Linked DNA regions of Tamandua tetradactyla. The protein of the gene in region 1 interacts with the protein of each later gene in a biochemical or structural test. Links are inferred from orthologs where the notes say so. Each region holds a gene or a part of one and is shown in the gene's direction. Other genes may lie near its edges.

The links. The genes of interacting proteins can lie anywhere in the genome.
Region 2: the proteins of RAF1 (region 1) and CDC37 form a complex in vitro, tested with the Homo sapiens proteins (2 studies listed by BioGRID, with this or other methods). The link is inferred for Tamandua tetradactyla from reciprocal best matches to the Homo sapiens genes RAF1 and CDC37.
Region 3: the proteins of RAF1 (region 1) and RB1 form a complex in vitro, tested with the Homo sapiens proteins (3 studies listed by BioGRID, with this or other methods). The link is inferred for Tamandua tetradactyla from reciprocal best matches to the Homo sapiens genes RAF1 and RB1.

Annotation. Positions count from the first base shown.
Region 1 is NC_135335.1:36,145,583-36,153,491, forward strand, and holds the start of RAF1 (RAF proto-oncogene serine/threonine-protein kinase), read left to right. Parts: upstream 1-4,901; 5' UTR 4,902-5,012; intron 5,013-7,909. UniProt on the Homo sapiens protein: Serine/threonine-protein kinase that acts as a regulatory link between the membrane-associated Ras GTPases and the MAPK/ERK cascade, and this critical regulatory link functions as a switch determining cell fate decisions including proliferation, differentiation, apoptosis, survival and oncogenic transformation.
Region 2 is NC_135337.1:91,391,080-91,398,266, forward strand, and holds the start of CDC37 (hsp90 co-chaperone Cdc37), read left to right. Parts: upstream 1-4,168; 5' UTR 4,169-4,540; coding exon 4,541-4,642; intron 4,643-7,187. UniProt on the Homo sapiens protein: Co-chaperone that binds to numerous kinases and promotes their interaction with the Hsp90 complex, resulting in stabilization and promotion of their activity. Inhibits HSP90AA1 ATPase activity.
Region 3 is NC_135330.1:109,981,730-109,988,555, reverse strand, and holds the start of RB1 (retinoblastoma-associated protein), read left to right. Parts: upstream 1-3,807; 5' UTR 3,808-3,994; coding exon 3,995-4,122; intron 4,123-4,387; exon of another isoform or gene 4,388-5,064; intron 5,065-6,826. UniProt on the Homo sapiens protein: Tumor suppressor that is a key regulator of the G1/S transition of the cell cycle. The hypophosphorylated form binds transcription regulators of the E2F family, preventing transcription of E2F-responsive genes.

The DNA of each region.
Region 1 (7,909 bases):
AGATATGGATATTCTGAAAGCACTGTTAAGGCATTTCCCCCACACCATGGGGGAAAACATGAACATGACACTTCATAAGATCCACAATAAAGTATGAAAATGTCTCTTTGTTGAGGGGTAACAAACCCCTCATGACTCTTTGTTGAGGGGTAGCACGTACCAGCAGAATCACATGCTGTAACTTTAAAGACAGAAGAAGTAATTTGTATTTCCTTGGTTTGAAGATGCTTTTGAATACTCACCATATCCTTATAGATAAGTCTTTGCAGCTTTCAGATATGGATTAAGTGCATCTTCATATCGACAAAGGGTTCTGCCAAGGCAAAAATGTTTAAAAAGACAAGCAGGAACTCTTCTCTATTTAGTTGGCTGAACACCTCATATTTTTCTCAGTCTTTCACTAGCAAAACTTCATAACTCATCGGAAATGAGAAAGGAATCACGAAAAGAATCTGAACATTTAATAACATGCCCATTGTCTCATACAATGTCTTCATCGTATAAATGGTTAAAAAATGACATTGAAAGCTGTGTGCAAGGAATGTTTATTGCATCAATTTTTTTCACTTCAGTTCCTTGTTTCAAGAAGGCCGATGATGTTCAAGGTTTCTCTCTCAACTGGGAAGGTACCTCGTGAACATGGCAGCGTCCACTGGCTTTTTCATGGCTCCATAAAAAGGCTAAGGACTTTATTTTAATTTTAAATCTCATGAGTCTTTAGGGCAGAGATTGGGAAGTGATGGCCCAAGAGCTGAATCTTCTCCCTAGGCCCTCACAGTGTATTTTGTTCGTTTGTTTGTTTTAACATATAACTTTACGGTCACCCATGACTTCTCTGTTTCTCTCACCCCTCCTTCCTCTCTCTTCCCACCCCATCCACTTCTAAGCCATTGGAGAATCAACCATCATTGGCTCAACCTTCAAAATGTAGCCAAGCATCCAACCACTTCTCACCATCTCCACCACCTCTACTGGTCTGAGCCACCGTGACTACCTCTCGCCTGGACTTTCTGATACTTCCTGTTTTCCCCACTTCCACTCTTGATTTCTTAAGTCTGATCTCAGTACAGCAGCCACACACAGGTGTTTTAACTTAAAAAGCTGCGTCCCATGACTCTCATATTGCTCAGAGTAAAAGCCAAAGCTTTTCAAAACAAGGGAGTTCTTCCAAAAGTCTACAAGACCCTGTACCATCTTTCGTCCTGGCCTTCTGACCTCATCTTCTACCTCTCACTCTTCACTAGATCCACCCCAGCCACACTGGCCTCCTTGCTGCTCCTCGGACAAGCACTAACTATTCTCTCTGCCTGAAGTGCCCTTCCCCCAGACATCTCCATGGCTCACTCTGAGTCTTTGCTCAAATGTCACCTCTCAGTGAGGCCACCCTCTTTCATTTTGTAACCTGCCCCCTCCCAGTCCCCTTCACCCAGCTTTATTTTTTCCCAAAGCATTTATTCACAAATTACATATTTTACTTATTTATTATGATTTTTATTATTTTTTAATATCTCCTCTTTCTAGAATGTGTGTTCCTTCAGGGCAGGTACTGCTGTCTGTTTTGTTTAATGATGTGTCCAAGCACCTAGGATAGTACTCTGTACATAATTCAGTGCTCAATAAATATTTATAGAATGAATAAAAAAATAAAAGTCTGATTTTTGACTAAAAAAAAAAAAGACAAAACCCTAAGAGCCACCACCACTGGGTTGCAGCCCTCTCTGGTAACCATTGTGGTGGCTGAGTGGTAGCTGCCTGCTTTAGATGGGACCTACATTTCCAAAGGGCCATAGCTCCCCACCCCATGTCCACTTTACTCATTCATCTCATCTGCCTAGTACCTGCAGGCACTTGAGTTTGCAATCCCTGTTACCAGATGCTTTGGGATCTCTGAAGAGGAGAACAGAATACATGGAGCCTCCCAATTTTTCAGGCCATAGAAGCTTTTGCTGAAATGACCTTTATCAACCTGCAGGCAGCGGGAGAAAAGGTGAACATCAGCTGTTTGCTGAACTGACAAGGGTGAGGGGAGTTAACACAAAGGATGGGGAGGCCCTGGAGTCATTTTCCTCCCCATGATAGGGGTTGGGAGCTCCCTGACAGCTGGGGGAAAGTCTGATTCAACTCTATCTCTTCCACAGGCTTTCAAATCAGGGATGGTGGGAAGGGCTGGTCTGGCAGTCAGAATAAGCTCCCTGATTCTGCACTGGGTGACCTGGCTTGAGTCATTGAACATTTTGAGTCTCTAGTCCCTCATCTAAAAAACGAAGGTGTAGCCATCTTTCCAGATCAGCTGTGAGGTCTGAATAAGGCATAGTCTTCTTGAGCTTTCTAAGCTGCAAAATGCTTGGAAAATACCATCTGGAGGAAATTAAAGGAAGGCATGACCTGGGAATGAGCCAAGTGTGACCCTGTCACTCTGCCTCACCCGATGATGCTGATGCTGATGACAATGGTGGTGATGATAAGTGATAGCTTTAATTATAGTTAACTGTATTTAATGTTACTACTACAGGCCAGGCACTATTCTAAGTGCTTTACACCTTAAATTCACTAAATTCTTACAACTTTTAAAAACTATCACATTTTTGTTACAGATGAGGATACTGAGAAACTGAGAGGTTTAAGTGACTTCCCCGAGTCCCAGATCAGGAAGTGGCAGTGTTCGGATTTGAACTCAGGCAGGCTGGCTACATGTTACTGAAGTCTCAACCGTCTGGCGGTGTGCTAAATGCTCTCCACACAACACAATCTTATTTAATTCTATGAGGTAAGAGTTATTGTTATCACTCTTATTGGAAAAAAAATACCCCATTCAGGGTTCTCTCCACATTCCATGCCTCAGTTTTCCCCTGGCTTTTATTTTCATGCAGGATCACATGTTCCTGCCTATCCTGATTTGCTAGCTACGGAAAGCAATATACCAGAAACAGAACGGCTTTTAAAAAGGGGAATTTAATAAGTTGCTAGTTTACAGTTCTAAGGCTGAGATAATGTTCCAGTTAAAGTAAGCCTATAGAAATGTCCAATCAAAGGCATCCAGGGAAAGATACCTTGGTTCAAGAAGTCTGATGAAGTTCACGGTTTCTCTCTCAAGTGAGAAGGCACATGGTGAACACAATCAGAGTTTCTCTCTCATCTGGAAGGGCACATGGCGAACATGGTGTCATCTGCTAGCTTTTTCTCCTGGCTTCCTGCTTCATGAAGCTCCCCAGGAGGCATTTACTTCTTCACCTCCAAAGATAGCTGGTTGGTAAACTCTCTGCTTCTGGTGGGTATGTCATTCTCTGCTCTCTCAAAAATCTCTCTCATTCTCCAAAATGTTTCCTTTTTTATAGGACTCCAGAAACTAATCAAGACCCACCCAAATGTGTGGAGATACGCCTTAACCTAATCCAGTTTAACAACCACTCTTGATTAAATCACATTTCCAGGGAGATTATCTAATTACAGTTTCATACATACAAAATTGAATAGGGATTAGAAGACACAGCTGCCTTCACAAAATGGGATTAGGATTAAGACATGTCTCTTCTAGGGTACATACAACATTTCAAACCAGCACACTGCCCTTAACTCCTTACCTTCCTTCATTTTTCCTTGTAGTGCACATATTCCTACCTGAATTTACACATTTTTTCTTCCCATTACTAGGAGACAGGGATTTTGATTATTGTTGATTTCCTAATACCTAAACGCTATGTGTGGTATGTAACAGGCTGTCAATAAATAGTTAAAAGAATGAATGTAACATGTAGCTTTGTATGCATGTGCTTGCATAAAAGCCTTTTTTTTTTTGTTTTACTTCATATCTTGGAGGGTTTTTGTTTGCTTTTATCAGTATATAGATTTAGTGTATTGTTTTAAACAGTTGGGATATTCCACACTGTGGGTGTGGCATCATTTAACCAGTTTCCTATTTAATCTACATTTTTCTATTGTTTCTCTAATCCAAACAATATGGCAATAAACATCTCTGCACATACCATTTTGCGCGAGTGTGAACGTATTTCTCTAGAACGAGTGCCTATAAATGGAACTGCCGGGAGCATGGGCGCTTACATTTAAAATGTTAATAATAATCCCAAATTGCCCTCCCTATTCACTCCTGCCACTGCTGTATGAGGATACGTGACAGGTGTGCATATACCTAGGACCAAACTGGATATCAGTCCTTTAACTTTTTGCCAGTCTGATGGGAGTTGGTGGAGGTGGGGATGAACCTCATTTACAACTGAGGTAACTGCGGCTCAGAAAGGTTTAGGAATTTTCCCAGGCAACTGGTAAGTGGCGGAGCCATGATTCGGCATCGGATGTGAGACTGTTGAGAGGAGGCACCATAGCTGGATACTGTCCTCTCTGCACGTGTACATGTGGTCATCTCTGAGACTCAACATGCTGACAAGCACGCAATTCTCGGCCAGGCCGCTTTCTCTCCCCATCCAGGCCTTGGGGCTCTCCCCGGGAGCTACACTCGAAAGCTCCTCGCTCCCCTGGCAACCTGCTCGGTTCCAAAATGGCGGCTGCAGCAGTCGGGAGCTCGAGGCCACGCCCCTTCCCCAGGGGGCGGGCCTTGAGATCAGGCCCAGCGATCGATGCCGGAGCCAAGCTCTAAGTGGGGCCTTCAGGCGGCTGGAGCCGCAGCAGAGTCGGAGGCCCCGCAGGTCGGGAGGAAGAGTACCGAGCGGAAGGCTCGCTTGCCGGGGCTGTCCGAGAGTCTCTTCATCGCGGGCACTGTGGCCGCCATTTTAGATGGCGGGAGTGAAACGAGAGCGAGCGTAAAGCGGGACGTCTTCCCTTCTGCTCTCCTCCGGCCCTTGGCCGGGCTTTGGGGCGTGTGCCCTGAGGCGCGGAGCGTGAGTGGGACGATGCGGGGTCTGCCCGGGGCCCCGTCCCCCGGGCTGGGGACGCGCCGAATGTGACCGCCTCCCGCTCCCTCACCCACCGCGGGGAGGAGGAGCGGACGAGACGCCGCCGCTGGACGTCGGGACACCCGGGCGCCCCGTCTCCCTCAGGTAGGCGGCCGGGCCTGGCCCGGCCCTGGACGCCGGGGGAGCGAGGCCGGGTTTCCCTGGAGCCGGGCGGGGGCGGCGCTGACTGAGCGACCCGGCAGCTGCCGGGCTGAGGGCCCGGGCCAGGCCGCTGTCACCCCGGGTGGCGCTGGGCGGGTGGGGGGCCCGGTGTCATGGCCGGCGACCCGAGTTCCCACATCCCCACTCAGATTTCGTTGTGTGTCGGGGAAACGTTTCAGTGCCACCTACGTGCCCAGTGCACATTCCTCATGTTTTGGCCGTGGGAAAATCCACCCAGAGCTTCGCCGTATCGTTGTCATTAGGACAGACTTGTTTCTTTTATATCTGGCGGCGGAGTTGGGGACTATGCTTTCGCCTTCTCTCCGGGTTCATCACTAAGTAACACCCTCTTAGGGAAGACGAAAGGAATCCGGGAAGAGAAAAGGAAATGGGTCAGTGCCTCACCACAAAGACAGAAGGGCCTCGCCTTGGTTTCAGGACTCTGTGGGTTATTAATGAAAGGTTTGGGATGCTTAGACTGAGGATTGGTCCCGGGATGCTTTGGAAGGGAGAACCAGGGCTATCTTCTGTGCCAAGGAAGAGCCGCCAGGATGGTTCACTTCTGTAACTGCAGAGAATCTGCAGAGCTAGTCGATGCCCGGAGACCAAGAGGAGTTTGGACGTCGTGAGAGACGAGGCGGCTCTGTGTTCATTCATTGTTCTTTTTCCAGGACTCTGGGTGTGCCCTCTGGTATTCGTTCTCTGGTGGGAAGAATGATAGGATCTCGTTTGTCTCCTTGAGATGCGATCTGGTTCCAGGGGGTCACGCAGTCTAAGTAGAGAAGGAATTCCTTGCACATTCACATAGCATTTCTGCCTGCCTTGACTCTAATGACTGAGGGAGGAAGTCTCCTTTTCGTTGCGCTCCCAAGACGAGAGAAGAAAGCCTTGTGATGAGGTTTGGCTTTCCGAATGCTATGGAAACTTGGAACACCTAGTTCTGCCTGGGGGAGCTAAGGAAGCTTGTACACTTCAGGGGACTTTTGCCCGGAGTTTTGAAGGATTGATGAGTAAGTCCTCACCAGGTAGGAGGAGGGGAAAGGCATTTTCTAAGCTGAGATATAAAGGCATAGAAGCTGCCGGAGTTGGGATGAGTTTAGGGAGGAGCAAATAGTCTGCCGGGAGAAATGGTGAGAGTTGAGAATCCAAAAGAAAAGTTGCTAGATTGGGAAGGGTTTTTCTTTATTGGAGGTAGCGGTCAATTAATTGATTTAATTTGGATTCTTCTAAATTGGTGGTGTTGTTTCGTTGTTCTTACCGAAAACTCGTTTCTCTCCCCTCCCTTCATGATTTTGAAACTAACAGTAATTTTTGAAAAGATTTACTTTGTTTAACCCAGTTAAGAGCATTTTTGATAAATGGTTTAGATAAAATGTTTTGCATTTATGCAACGGTGAATGGACTGCGCTCATATTCCTAGGGAATTTTGCAAAACATTTTTCTCACGTTAATGCTTGCTCATTAACGTGACACACAAAAAAGTGAATTTTTAAATGTCGCACACACTGTTAATTCTCAGGTTTAAGTGGCTGTTTCACAACATAAACAATGTTTCCAGTCATACAGAAATTGGCAGATTATATATAACATCCAAAAAAGTGTAGAATGCAAATGACTATTTTTAGCTTAATAGATGTGTTTTACGTTGTAAAATGGGTCTTCGGGTTCCACTTCTCGTATCCTGGTTCCAATTCTCATATAAAATCTGAAGCTCTATGAACATAATTTTCCTAAAATAGTTGTGTTATTGTGATTAATTCTTATGCTAAAGTTGCTATTAACATATTAACAGACTTCAGCTGGTAGTTCCCACATCTTTCTTAAAGGATTGTGATTATATACCACTGAAGAACATTAAGTCTTTGGCTGGCTGTCACCCTTATCATGTCAAGGGCTAAGCTGTTTAAAATGCAACAGAAACATTTGACCCAGTTGAACAATGGATAGTTGGGAGTACAAACCTATTACTGTTTCTGTTCTGAAAATGTATCTATTCGGTGTGTGGCGTTTGTGATTATAAATCGTAGTAATCTTAAGCTCTTGTCCATAGTTGGAAAACTTTTCGTCTTCAAAGTAGAAGGCTGGAATGAAATATTTGAGGGTATTTTATGGGATTTAATTTAGCAGAAAGAAAACTTAAGTGAAAAGCTGATTAAGCCTGTCATTTATGACAAAAAGTATCTAGAAGATGAAATAGAGAATGGTTACACATCCGGTACCTTAGAATTGCTGTGAACCTTGTTGCTTTTAGTTTAAAACATGCCATTTGTGAAGTCCAATGTAGGTGGTTTGCTCTGAAGATTAAAAAAATGACTTCATACTTCTTGTATGTTAAATTTGACTTTTCTAGAAGCTCTAGATTACTTATGAAATAGGAAATAAAAGTAATAGCTTCATTTACTGTTTCAAGTGTCCAGTTAGTAGATGTATGAGTCTATATTTTAATTTCAGATAAAACATTGCTAGTGACCTGTAGCCTAAAAATAGGAAAATATTACACAAGGGAATACTTTTATTTGCATGTTAGAGACATAATAGGCCCTACACAATAATACTATTCTTGGGAGGAGCTTGTTTGCCAAGCAACATGCCTTAACGTTGACTTGCAGATGAGAATTTTAAATATTGCCTTTGAAAGGTGGTAGACTAATGTAACAGTGGAGTGGGGGAAGAGGGATGGTGTACTGAGCTTTGACTTGAAAAGCTTTTAGATCATGGAAGTAATTTCTTCAAAACAAATAACCGTAGTTGGAAAATTGCTTACCTTGACGAAATTAATTGGAAAGTCAAGGAACATTGGCTTCGTTCAGGATTTAAGTCATAATTTACTCTGTGTGAGT
Region 2 (7,187 bases), on another chromosome or scaffold:
GCTATTCCTGCTATCAGGAAAACAAGCCTCCGATATCCTGTGCTCCTCCAATCTCCTTGACCCCCTGATTCTGCTTTTGTTTGGTTTGTTTTAGACTTATAAATTCAAACAAAATCATTGACTTATTTTAATTTATTAATGCCCCGTCCTTTGATTAGGGTGCAAGGCAGGGTTGGTGGTCTCTTTCCTTGCTGGGTCTCTAGAGCCTAGGACGATGCTGGCTTGCAGTATGTCCTCACCAAATATTTCATGAAGGAATGAATGAATCTGCCTGACTCCTTTACCTCCTTCAGATCTCTGCTCAAAGTCACCTCCTTCTGGAAGCTTTCCCAGAGATGGACTCCCCCCACACATTCATGCTGTCCCTCTCTACCCGTCACCCAGCTTTACTTCTCTTCTCAGCTCTCTCTCTCATCACTCCTGGTACATCTTACATTGACCTGTTCCTCCACTGCCCAATCCCTCAGGTCCATGAGGGCAGGGGAATTTTCTCTCTTATTCTAGGCTTTGTCCAGAGCCGGCTTCATGGGTGTGCGGCCAGTGAAGTGGTACAGGGTTCCACACTCTTGGAATGACCTGTGCTTTGTTTATCTCCACTATCACCGTCTTGAAAGTCCTCAGAATTCTGAACAAGGGAAACTCCATAGCCCATGGCCGGTGCTCAAAGATTTGTAGATGTGGAAGGAAGGAATGGAAGACAGGGGGGCTTGACAGCCCAAGGGAGAGCAACAGAAACACGCGCCCTAGCTCAGCCCAGACATGCGTGCACTTTTGCAGAGATCACACCAAGCAAAAAGCAAGCCTGCCTTCCCCTCCCCCGGGCAGCAGCCTGGCCAGGGAGGGGGTCCAGATGGCAGAGCAAGTCGCTTTGGACAGCTGGCACCCGGCTCAGGCTGAGAGAGGCTTCTCCCACCTGCTCCTAGCCGGTCAGCACAATCGGCACCCACCCGGCTGGTAGCCTCTGGCCTCACCTGACGCCCCAACCCCTGCCCACTCACCAAGTCCCTCAGAAGAAGTGAGGACAAATATCTCTGTTGGCTTCCTGTCCCTGGGAGCCAGTCCTGCAGAGGGGCAAGAAGTACCGAGGCCTCCATGCCTGGAGCTGAAGCAGGGCTCGGCACATGTCCGTGTACATGAGACTTTGGACACAGCTGTGCAGGTGCCACTGAACCGGCAGAGCTTTCTAGAAGCCTCAGGGTTGCATAGTTGAGACAGACAATACTGTAGGAGTGTATGTGTGTGACAAAGCAACCCTACCTAGGTGGAGTTCTACATGGGCATTTGGTCAGATGTGCCTGCGTGATTGTGACTTTGCCAGGATACGGGTGGGGGTAGGGTGGGGGTGGGGTCATACAGGCAGATGCAGCGACAAGCAGCATTACACAATGGGTAGATTTGGGTTCAAATTTCTGCAGAGCCACTGCTGGGCTATGTGCCCTCATGTTATCTGGGTTCTGGTATTTGTTAGTGTGGCTGTGTTTGTGTGGGTTTGAGTGTGTGTGTGAAGAGTAATTCCTTTCTTCTGAGAGGTCTTCCAGATACCGAAATTGAAGTCCGCTGCCCACCTCCCCAATTTTTCTCTCTTGTTATAAAACCTTCTATTTCCATCACAATCCTAATAACAATTTGTTATTTATTAATTTGTTTGTATATGTTGCCTCTTTTCTGTTTCCTCCACTAAATGTCAGCTCCACAAGGACAGGTGTTTTGTTTTGTTCACTGCTGGCTCCCCAGCACCTGGCATATAGTAGGCTCTCAGTAAATACTTACATACTGAATGAATACAGGGCTGTGTCTCTGTGGAAGTGTGAGGAGGGACAGGCTCTGGCTACCCTCTGCCCCCTTCCTTTCCCAGATGTTTACAATCATGCCTTCAGGTTGTAAACTTTTATGGGAAGGACAACACCCTATTGCCCTGCGGGTGATGCCTTAGGTGACATCTTTCCCCTTTCTCTGGGCTCAGGGACTTAATCATTTCATATGTAAAGTGGGATGGGGTTTGGACTGATTCATGATAACATCGCTTCATGATCTAAAGCCTACGAATTTAGTTTTAGTCTAACACACCCCCCCCTTTAATCTATTCAACATTTATTGGGCGGCTCTGCACTCAGCCCGACCATCCTGCAGCTCAGAGCACAAGGAGGGCAGACAGGACCCAGAAATTCTATTTAAATGTGAGTCCTATATCCCCACCTCCCCACTCCACTTCCCAACTTTCTAGGCCTGACCAAATTTTCCTCTTGGCAGTCTGAGATTGCCCACAGGCTCTTCTCCCTTTACCCACTGATCTCCTTCCTTTAGCAGCCTGCCTGGCTGGTTCTGTTTATTGCCGCAGACCTCCACACCTGTCAGGTGCCCAGTGCCCAGTAGGCACTCAAGAAATAGGTGTGGGATGAGCTGACAATGCCTGATGGGGCACAGGAGGACCTGGCCCTCGCTCAGCTACCTACGGGTCATTTTACCCACTTTGCAGATGAAGGAATTGAGGCTCAGGAAGGGGAAGGGAAATCCCCGTTCCTTGGCTCCCACCGCAGCAGCGGAAGCTGGGGCATTCCCGGCCCCTCCCCCTCCAGGAACAAGAAACACAACGGGGGTGCACTGATGGGGCGGGGGTGGGGGGTGGGGGTGGGGGTGGGACAGAGGGAGAGTGCAAAGCAACTCGGGATGGTTTCTCTCACTCGGCCTCCAGGGCTGAAGATGTTTTGCTGGCAGTCGATTAGGAAATGCTGGGCGTTGATGGGGGAGCTGCCGGCACCCTGCCCCTAGTTCTGGGAGCTGGGGATCCTGGCACCTGGTTCTCTGGGGCGGGGCAGTTCCAAGCTCGGAAGTCAGGGAGAGACCCACTCCTGCCCCCCACCTTCTCTACCTGGGAATCCTCAGCATCCAGGGTCCGACCCGCACATCCCGAGCCTGCAAAGGGTGGACGCGGGGACCCCAGCATTTCTGGAGGCCAGAGGAAGCCCCCCCTCAATGGTCCCAGTCCCTTCCTTCCAGAGCGCAGGACCCCCTCCCCACTGCAACGCGTAGCCGGAAGCTTACCTTAACTGGGGGGCGTTGGGGATGGGGTGTCTCGCCCTCTCCGGCTTAGGGGCAGGAGGGGAAGGGGGCGTCCAGACCCTTTGTTTGCCGGTGTCTGTGTATGTGCGCGCGCGTGTGTGTGTGTGTGTGCGATTATGAGTCCCGCTGTGGTGTGGGTCCGTGCGCGCGCGTGCCTGGGCCGTGACGGCCGCTGCGAGGCTGGACTGGCCCGGCTGGAGGGGGAGGGGGAGGAGAGAGGGACTCCCCCGCCCCCGCGCGCCCACCCGCGGGCTTGAATGGAGGGCGAGGGGAACGCGCGAGAGGGCGCTTTTGTCTGGCTGGTCCCTCCTCCTCCGAGAGCCGGGGAATCACCCCCCATCTGGAGACCTTTTCTTCATTCCCTCCAGGCCCCCGAAAAATCCGCCCCCGGGGAGTCTGCAAAGAGGCGCCCCTGGTCGGGTTGGTGGAGTTTCTCCCCTCTCAAACGCCCCCCTGCCCAGCGCCCCTTAATCTGGGATAAACCTGGCCCTAGGCTGCAACGCGGACTTTTATGCCGGGATCAAAACGTGGGTTGGGTTTATAGAAGTATGCGCTCGGCTTCACCAAGCTCAGAGTAACGGCAGTCCTGGGAGCGCCGGCCCGGGAAGGGGGCCCCCCACGAAAGGGGAGGGGCTGTGAGCGGCCCCAGACTACCATGCCGAGGAAAGCCCCCGACCCGCCCCTTCACGCTTCCCCGCCGCTGGCTAGACATTAGCGACGCTCAGTGGTCGTACGGGGAGACGCCGCGAAGGGCGCGCTGGAGAATTAGGGGGGCCCAGGTGATTCCAGAGAGGGGGTGTGTGCGCCAGAACGTGGGGGCAGAAAAGGGATCTGGTAGATGGAGGCCGTGATCCGAGCCGAGGGAACCCCAAACACCAAGGCAATGCCACATTCCCTCCCACCGCCCACCTCCCCAAGAGCAGGGGCAAATCGTTCTCCCCCACGTAGAGCCTCCCAAGGGTACCCCTCTGGCAGGATAGGTCCCTTAAGATCAGACGCCCTTCCCCAGGTCAGGGATGGCTAACCCTCACAAGGGGTAGGGGCGGGTCTTCTCGCCGAGGCCCCGCCCCTGCAGGGGGCTCCGGATGATGTCACTGAGGCCTGGCCAAAGAGACAGTCCTCGCCCTCAGCCTCACCAACTCCCCCACCTCCCCGTGGCCATCGCAAGGGCCCACCGAGGGGGGCCTGGAGATAAGGGGAGCTCATGCCCATGTGACCCCAGGAGGTGCCCAGGGCAGCCCGGGTGCTCGATGAGGTGTGTTCTACGCGGGGACTCCCGGACTACCGAACACGTGCGCAGGGCCCTTTAAGGGCTGGCTCAGTTGCCAGTGCCGCCTTCGCGGTTACTAGGGATGTGACGTCACCGCGGGCGGGCGCGCGCGCGCCTGGGCGGAAGCGGAAGGGGCGGGGCTGCGCCAGCTAGAGTCTCCAGCGCCGCCGCCGCCGCCGCAGCCGGAGCGGGCTGGGCCGCCCAGGCAAGATGGTGGACTACAGCGTGTGGGACCACATCGAGGTGTCGGACGATGAGGACGAAACCCACCCCAACATCGACACGGCCAGCCTCTTCCGCTGGCGGCATCAGGTAGAGCTCGCGCACTTCCGCGCCTTCCTTCCGCCGGGGCCCCCCCTCCAGGGTCCCTGACCCCTGATTCCGCCCAGGGAGGGACCCCGCCATTGACATCTGGACTCCCACTCCACGGTCTGGACCCTCACTGTCGCCCGGGGTCCCTCGATTCAGCTCCAGGACCCTGAGTTCCTTCCCAATTTACCCCCGCGAGCCGCTGGACCCCCTCGGATTATTGCGTGAGATTTCCTGATAATCCCTAGCACACCTTCCCCAGGGTCTGTACTCCTCAAGACGAGCCTTGGAGATACTCTCAGTCCTGTCTGGGACCTTCTATATTTACACCCAGAGCTCTGCGTCCGAATCTAGACCCTCCATACTTTAATTCTGTCCTGGGATTGCCTCTTGGCATTTTATGATTGAGGATTCCCAACCAGATCCAGAAAGAGAGCCTGCTTACTCCAAAGAGAACAAGGAACTTTGTCCTACCCTGAGATGCCCATTCCTGACTTGGGACCCTGACCCAGGCCTAGTAACTCCTTCACTGTAGTGTAGACCTGTACCCCCACACCCGCTAGGTAGGCCGGCATCCCCAGTCCTGTTTATGATCACGGTTTTGGAACCAGGTTTTCCCCCAGACTCAAAACTTCCAGTTCCCACCCTGATGGAGAGCTAATTCTAGCCACTCTCCTTTAGCCTCATTTACTCTGTAGCCCATTTCTCATTACACCGGGAACCCCACCCCCTTGGCTTCCAGAGTAACTACAACCCAGCTCTTTCCTGCAATAACTTGGCAGTACAGGTCCCTGCTGTTGCCTACCCCCAAGCCGAGCCTGGAAAATCACACCCAAACCCATGCCCACGGACTCCACATTCACTCCCCCTTACTCCAAGCCCCAGCCTGATCTGCCAAATCTCTGACCACCAAATTGGCCCTGCTCTCACCCAGACGCCCTCCTGGCCTGATTCCAAGCTCACTACCTACCCCCCCCTTTTTTTTTTTTTTTTGCCTACCTGCCCACAACGGAACCCTGAAATCCAGACCCCAGAATCCCAAGTCCGGGTGACCCATGTCCTACCACCAGCATGGTGCTTTCGGGCAGCAGGGTAGCCCTTGTAAGATGTAGGGGTCTCATCTGCTCCCCTAGTTAGGAGCAGCACCCACATACCTGCACCAATGTACCTGAGCCTGTTACACTCTCAGCTTGGGGTCCGTATCTCTCAGAACCTTCCAGTAAGGAATTTCCCACTCCTCCCTCCCATGTATGTGCCAGCTCCCAGTCATTTATCCAGAAACTTCTAGAAGGGCACTCCCCATCCTTCTGGGATACTACATTAGCCTCTACATCTGGCCCCCAGGCCACCTTCCAACCTCCCAGTCCTTTACACATCAGTCTCCTGGGTAGTGTGCCCTCTGGGCAGGCCACTGAAGTATGGTAAGAAAGTTCTAGTGCTTCTGTTTTTTACCCTGTGTGGCATTGTAATAGGAAATACTTAAGATCTCCGCAAAGCCCTAAATATTCTTAGGTACACCTATTTCTGTAACATAAAGAGGTTACTCTTTGCTGCTGCTTGGAAAGCCACTTGGTCCTGCCCTGCTGAGTGAGGCCCGCCCTCCTCCCTCCAGACCCTTCTCTCTGGCTCAGAACTGCTTCCTGTGTTGCCATTGAGAGCTACAACCCTTTCCTAAGTCTCCTGGGCCCCGGGGCTTTGGTGGGGAGCTGAGGAGTAGAGGAGCAGCAGGACTCAGTGCCCACAGCAGCTACAGGCAAGCTTGGATTCTAAATCCATTCCAGTCGCTTGCCGACTCACCCTGTAGTGGAGCGAGAGGCAGACCCTCCCTGAGCCCCTGCAAACTGAGTTGATGTGACCCCATCCTCTGTGAGACAGTTGTAAGAATAGAACGAGATTGGGTCCACAGAAGAACTTGGCTTGGGACCTGGTAGAGAGAAAGTGTTCCAGAGAGGGTGGTAAGATTAGTAGAAAGTTTGCCTGGCAGCTTGGTTCTGAGCTCAGGCCCGGCCACCTGGGTTCAGAGCGAGGCTCCTTCTGCACCACTGAAGAGCTGTTTGAACCCTCTGTGCCTTAGTTTCCCCAACTGGGAATATTACTGGTACCCAGGCCATAGGTTTGTGGTGAGGCTTATGTTATTTAAAGTCTAAAATTTTCTTGGGATAATATCTGGCACATAATAAAGACTCTGCGTTTTAGCAGTTAGCCTCATCTTTATTTCGGGAATTCATGCTCACGGTAAAAGAATTCTAGAGCTTCCAGAAGGGACATGGGGGCAAGTGACTCTTCCCAGCCCTATCTGTTAGGTCCTTTCTGCAGCCTTGGTTCCTGCCTGGCCCAGCATGCTCGGGCCTCTCACAGACATGAGCTATAAAGCCCAGGCCGGGCGGACAGCCACCCCTGCCACCTCCTGGAGGTCTTTATTTAACTTTGTCTTCCCTGGCAGCTGCTCGGCAGACTCTGCAGAAAGCTCAGCAATTGCCTAGCTGAGACAGGCCAGGTGGTTGCTTCCTGCTATGGCCCGGGTTTGGCTGGGATGGCAGCAGCAGGG
Region 3 (6,826 bases), on another chromosome or scaffold:
AAAAAAATCAGAGACAGAAAGAAGATTAGAGGTTACCAGGGCAGTGGGAATTGGGAGTTATTGCTTAAAGAGCACAGAGTTTCTCTTTGGGGTGATGAAACGGTTTTGATAATGGATGGTGATGATCATAGCACAACCTGAATATAATTTGTGCTATTGAATTATATGCGTGAAAGCGGTGAAATGGGAATTTTTATGTGGTATAGATGTTAACACAATAAAATTTAAACATTAAAAAAATAAAAAGATATAAGCAAAAAAAAAAAAAAAGCCATTGAGTGATCTCTTAGGACATTGGTGGCCCCTGAAAGAGTGATTTCAGTGGAGAGCTGGTGGTGGCAGTGGGAGAAAGCCAGATTATAGTGAGCTGAGGAATGAGAAAACAGAGAGAACAAATGGGGACTACCCTTTCAAGAAGCTAAAGAAATGGAAATACCCTGATAGCTTGGGGATGCAAAAAAATCTGAAGAAATTTTAGATTACAGGAGACTCAAAAAAAACAAAAAGTATTCTGGTATCATGGAAGAGGCATCATGGAAGAGGTATCATGGAAGAGGCATCTGTAGTTCTCTCTACAGATGGCAAGTCTATGAATGATTGTTTTTTGGTCTGGCGACACTATTCTTAAAGTTACTCTGGAGGTGAGGGAAGATCAGAGAAAACATATTTTAAGAAACTAAGAACATCTAACACTTATTCGGTAATGCAACAAAAAACTGCGGGGGAGATGTGATGATTTTGATTTACTTAATTGCTCCTGCATTGTGTGTAAGGAAAATACACTTAAAAAGTACAAGAGAACACAGTGAAAGGAATCCGTGGTAAAGATACACATCTTTTTGTAAATCGAGAAATGTCTCTTTATCCTAATTGTGGTAAATTCAGATGTTGATAAACTGGGTTTAAATAAAGCAAGTTATATAAAGAGAGCTTACTTCAGTTTCCAGAACATTCCTCACCTCTCCTACCCTCTCTACTGCCCAACACTGAGTTAGGGACTAGGGCTCCAAAGATGCCCAAGATTTGGACTCCATCCTGAAGGGGATCATAGGAGAAGTATTGTCAGTCATGATACTTTCTGCAAATTACGGAAATTTCCAGCTCAGTCTATGGCGGCTCCAGGGTTGGTCAAATCAGAGGTTCACTTATGCCACCAAGGCTCCAGATTCTTTTGATAATCCTACTGCACCATCCTCAGCATTTCTGCCTTATTCTCTGGTCTGCTTGCCTCAGGTCACAGTGGCTGCTGCAGTTTCCAGTGTCATATCCTCATGACAAGAGTTAAGAGGTAGAGGAAGAAATGTCATCCCTGTATTTCATTTAATCAGCCTCCCAACAAACTATCCTTCATCATCCAAAGGCCAAAAACTACATCCTGAGCTTCTATGGTGGCTTGAAGCTGTATTACCCAGAAAAACATGTTCTTAAATTTAATCCATTGTAAATAGGACTTTCTGATAAGTTGAGTTCAGTTAAGGTGTAGCCCATCTCAATCAGGATGGGTCTTAATTCTAATATAGAGGCCTTTATAAGTGGAGTGGAATTCAGACACACACAGAGAAAGCCAGAAAGAAAGCAGCCAGAGGCTGAAATCAAGGGAACTCAGAAGAGAGAGAAGAGACCAGGAGATGCTGCCATGTCTTGCCATGGTGACAAACTAAGGTCCAAAGATTGCCAGCAGCCAGCCCCAGACCACCAGTTTTCAGGGGAAAAGCATCACCTTGATGTCTTGATTTGAACTTTCTTTTAGCTTCAAACCTATGAGTTAGTAAATTTCCATTGTTTAATGAGAACCATTTCATAGTATTTGCTTGGGCAGCCTAGGAAACTAAAACAGCTCCTGTCTAAACCAATCCCAGCCAAGGTGAATGGGGTTTACCATTGTAATAAGATTCACTCTCTAGGGCTGTGGCTGGGCCTGGATCCTTTCTCCTGATAAGCTCTGGCCTCCTAAGACAGGTTTCTAAAGTTAGGTGGGACTGGCTGTTGGGTAGGCCAATACTTGCTAATCTTTTTCACATTCTGCCGTATATAATGATGTGTTAGGGCTCTCTAGGGAAACTGAACCAATAGGAGATATCTGTGCATATGAAATTTTATAAAAGTGTTTCATGCAACTATGGGAATGCAAGAGTCCAAATTCTGTAGGGCAGGCTGTGGGCTGGCAACAACAATGAAGGGGTTCAATGAATTCCAAAGGAGAAGCTGGCTGGCTGGGTGATGTAGAGATAAAAATTCTCTCCTCTGACTGCTGAAATCATCACCTCTCCCTTAGGTCTTCAACTGATTGGCTTCTCTCATTATGGAAGACACTCCCCTTAGTTGATAGTAGAAATAACCAGGTATAGATGCAATTAACTGATTGATGATTTAATAAACCTGCCTCAGGTTTATTAACCAGCCACAAAATGTCCTTACAGTAAGTAACAGTTAGGCCAGTGCTTGCCTGACCAGACAGGGCACCATCACTTGGCCAAGTTGACACATGAACCTAACCATCACACATGATATACATAGAAAATGATAATCCTTGGTATGGCACACTGGATAAATGTATGAAGCTTTCTGCCAGGAACTATCTGAAAATGTAGGCTGCTTCAGATACTGTTCAGCTGTTCCAAGGATGAGGGGATTTACAGTGGAGCACAATTGAACATCATTCACAGCACCTCCAATGGGTAGTTTTGAGCTAGGCAATCAACAGCATCTGCAAGATTGAGAAAAACATGTACTTCAACTAGAAAACGCATTGTTATAAATAAACACCAAGAAACACAAACCATGCAGTTTTCAAGCCAATGTTTGGGAGCCGTAGCCACAACAAACTTTCTGAGGTCTTGATGCCTTTGCACACATCATTTCTTTCTTCTTGGTGTTTTCTTCATTAGCATCACCTAATGGATAAGTGGGTGAATATACTTGGGTTCAAATCTTTCGCCATCCATCAGCTATGTGCCACCTGGCACATTAATGAGCTCCTCTGAGCCTGGTTTCCCATCTGGAAAGTGGAGTAATACTACTACTGATTTTGAAGGGTTGCCTCTGAGGATTAAATAAGATTATCATGGAAAGTGGCTAGCAACGTTACTGGCACACAGCAAGCCCTCATTAAAAAGAAGGTTTATCTATAGAGAGAGAAAGTGAAAGCGAGAAACATACAGTAGTGTGTTCGGCAAATTTTATTCAACTGCCATTTCCCTCTGAAGATCTCGCAGATATGTGGATAGACCCTCCTATTTTTATGCCACTATTAAGACATTTATCACACTATCCTGTTTACTTGTTCTTTACCCACAGACCCTCTGCCTACACTATCCAGGGATTTCCCCCAAAGCCTCTAACTGTCCTACATTTCATATCCTCTAGTGATTAGTGTTCTGTAAGTATCTGTGGAACAGAACAGGAGTTCTTCTTTTGACCCACCCTGCTAACAGACTGGGCAGGCGGGACCTGGTTCCGAGGCCAAAGGGTGCAGAAGCCTGATAACACCGCGCACTCGCGCGTGGACGCCGATCCGGCTCGCAGATAAGAGTTGGGGGCCCAATCTCACCCCCCAGGCTTTCTTCAACGCCCTACTCCGGGCATCCCCAGCCTGGAAAGGGCAGGTAAGGGCAAGAACCAGGGTGCCGCGGCGGCGACCGCCCCTGGGCAGCGCCTCCACAGGCCGGGACTCGCGGCCCACCCCACCAGCGTTCGCGCCCCGCCCCGCTCGCGCTCGCCCCCGCCCGACGCTGGGCGCCCGGGGCCCCGCGAGACGCCGACGGGCCCGAGCGACTCGCGGACGTGACGCCGCGGGCGGAAGTGACGTTTTCCCGCGGTTGGACGCGGGGTTCGGGTGCCGGGCGGGGGAGCGCTCGGCCGGCGTTTCTCGGGGGACGCCCAAATCATTTTGCCACGAGAGCCGAGCGCGGACGGGGCGTACCCCGACGTGTGCGCGCGGCCCCCTGCCCTGCCGTCCTCCACTGCTCGCTGGCTCCCGCCCCAGGAGGGCGTCATGCCTCCCAAAACCCCCCGAAGAGCGGCTGTCGCCGCCGCCGCTGTGGAACCCCCGGCGCCGCTGCCGCCCCCTCCTGAGGAGGTCCCCGAGCAGGACAGCGGCCCCGAGGAGCTGCCTGTGGCCCGGTGAGCGAGCCGAGTCGCCGCCGCCGCCAGCACCCGGGCAGGCGCCGCGGCGTCCTCGCGGGGAGCCCCCGTCCCGCGGGAGAAGGCTAGCTCTCCGCGCCCCTGTGGCCACCGCGGAGTGTCGGAAAGACGCGGCCAGGGGAGCGGGTTCGGGGGGCGCGGGCGGAGTCGCCAGGAAGAGTGTCGGCTCCAGGTTGACAGGTGTCCGGTGGGTGGGGCTCGGGTCCCTGAGCGAACTGACAGGTGCCGGCTTCCCTTCTGCAGGGCGGGGAGATGGCGGGGTTTTGGGAGCCCCTCACGGGCGGGACGACGACCCGGCGGCGTCAGCGGGAAAGGAAGCGGTTTTTCCTCCCCTTGAAAGACGCTGCACCCGGGCGGTAGTTGGACTTTCTGTTTTGGCCCCTGCGATGCTGGTTCCAAGCATTTTCCTCCGGGTGTGCATTGCATTCTAGGAGAGGCGGCAAAAGCCGCGGACGCTGCCGAGACGTTTTTGGACGAGGTTCTTGTTTGGGGTTCGGAGGCGTCAGTAGAGACTGGCAGCGCGGAACTCTTTAGAGGTGGCAAAATCTTTCTGAGCCATTGAGCGCAAGTGCTGAAAAGTTTCTGAACTTTTTCTTTTTTCTCTTTCGGGATAAAATTCTTTTTGAACGTTAGTCTGCTTCCACATACCTCGTTCTGTCTTCCATTTTGCCTTTTTTTTTTTTTTTTTGCCATTTCGGAAACAAGGCTCCGGGCGGCGTCTGCTTCTTTTGGTTGTTTTTGTTTGTTTTTGCTTGCTTTTTTTGTTTATTTTTTGGGACAAAACTGGTGATGTGCTGTGTGCACATGGAACTCTCCCACCCGGAATTAGTAGGGTCTAAATCCAAGGAAGTCTATATATATATATGAAGGAGATATTTATTTGTATTGCAGCATCCTATTTTTCTTGATTGTGTTACATTGGTAAGTAGTTAAATTTGAATAGTATGTACTTGTCCTTATTCCTTTCTATCAGCGCTGGTCCTGCTTTGAGACTGCAGATTCATTGCAGAAGGATCGGACTCCTTTCTCTCTCTCACCACTCCCTCCTCCATTCTTGTCCATCACCAGGTCCCGTGTTACCCACGCTTAATTGTAGGTTTCTTTCCATTCTCTTGCTACCAACACAGTCATGCCAAACTGTGAAAGATTGAGAACGGCTTTTGGAAATGGCCTGTTGAAGATGATAAAAAATTCTTTTATTGAATAGCCTTGATAATGCTTATCTAAGACAGTGACCCACTGTCTTATGGGTCAAGTAAAAAATCATACCCTCCAGGAAAAAAGAACAGGTCTTGGGGGATGTTCTGAGAGATAAATTACCAGTTTCTAATTAACTCTGATGTGTACAATACTTGAAAATTTCCTTTTGGGAAGAACAGTAAATAGCTTCTCTAAAGAATTATCATAGGGTAACCAGAAATATTTGAAGTTTGCGTTATCACCTGAGAAAAGAAGGACTATTTCTTTCATTTCCCCCCTCCCCCCTCCTTTTTTAACACATTTTTTATTTATCTTCAAGTAATGGAAGCACAAAATTCTCCTGTCAAACCCTTTTATTTCAAAACGATACGTGATATATCTGCTCTTATCCATTTTCATGGGTAATCAAAAGCTGTACATTAACTACTTAGCAAGATTATGACCACTGCCAGGCAGTCCGAGGCTGAGAAACTTGATTTGGGATGAATTCAGGGCCCAGTTCCACCTGCATTTCCAATAACAAACGTCCATTTCTGCCTTGAGAAAGAGTTGAGTTCATGTTTCTGTTGCATCATCTCTGGCTTAAGTGATGTGGTTGGAAGGGAATCTGTCTCTAGGAACAGCACGCCACCTTCATTGTTGAGATAACTAAAAGTTAATTATGTTTTGAAGGAAGACTTGGCGGTGTAGAATAGTGGTCTGCAACATGGATTGTGGAGTTAGACTGCTAGGTTCATAATCCTCCCTTACTGGCAGAAACCTTAGGTGAGTGTTTTAACTTCTCTGATTTGGCTTACTCATCTGTAAGACAAGGGTAATAAGAGTAAGAGTACTTACTTAATATGGCTGACGTGGGAATTCAGTGAAACCAGAATGTAAGGTGTTTTGTGCAGGGTTGTAGTAAATACTCAAAAATTATTAGCTATTCCACTTGCAAATATGATTATTAAAAACTAAAATAAAATAAAAATATGTTTATTAAGTTAATGAAAAGGAGTTAGCCTTGATAATGCTTATCTTGGTTAAGGAAGATCAAGGAATAAGGGTTGAAAAAAGTGTATTATTAATCACAAGTAAGAAATGCTACAAGATAGAGGTATGTGAAACATTGATAAGTATGGGCCTTATGTTAATGAAGGCATTGGCATCGAATTGATTCTGTAATGTCATCTGTAGGCTTATCTCTTCTTGCTTTTGTCATTACCTTATTTTCCCAAATAACTTTAGCTATTATCCTTACTTTCCTTCACAAACCTATTTTACTGCTCTGAAGTATAATAGGTTCACTGTGTCAGCACACATTTTTCGTTGTTTGGAAAGACAATGAAAGATAAATATGTTTAAATTTAAAGCATAATTTTTTCAAAGATGAAATTAATATCTTAAAGTACTTAGTAATGCTGTCTTTCAGGATAGTGCTATTATGTGCAAACCTTTGAAACAAATGTTTACTATATCATTTTGACTTATAAGTGTTTGCCTA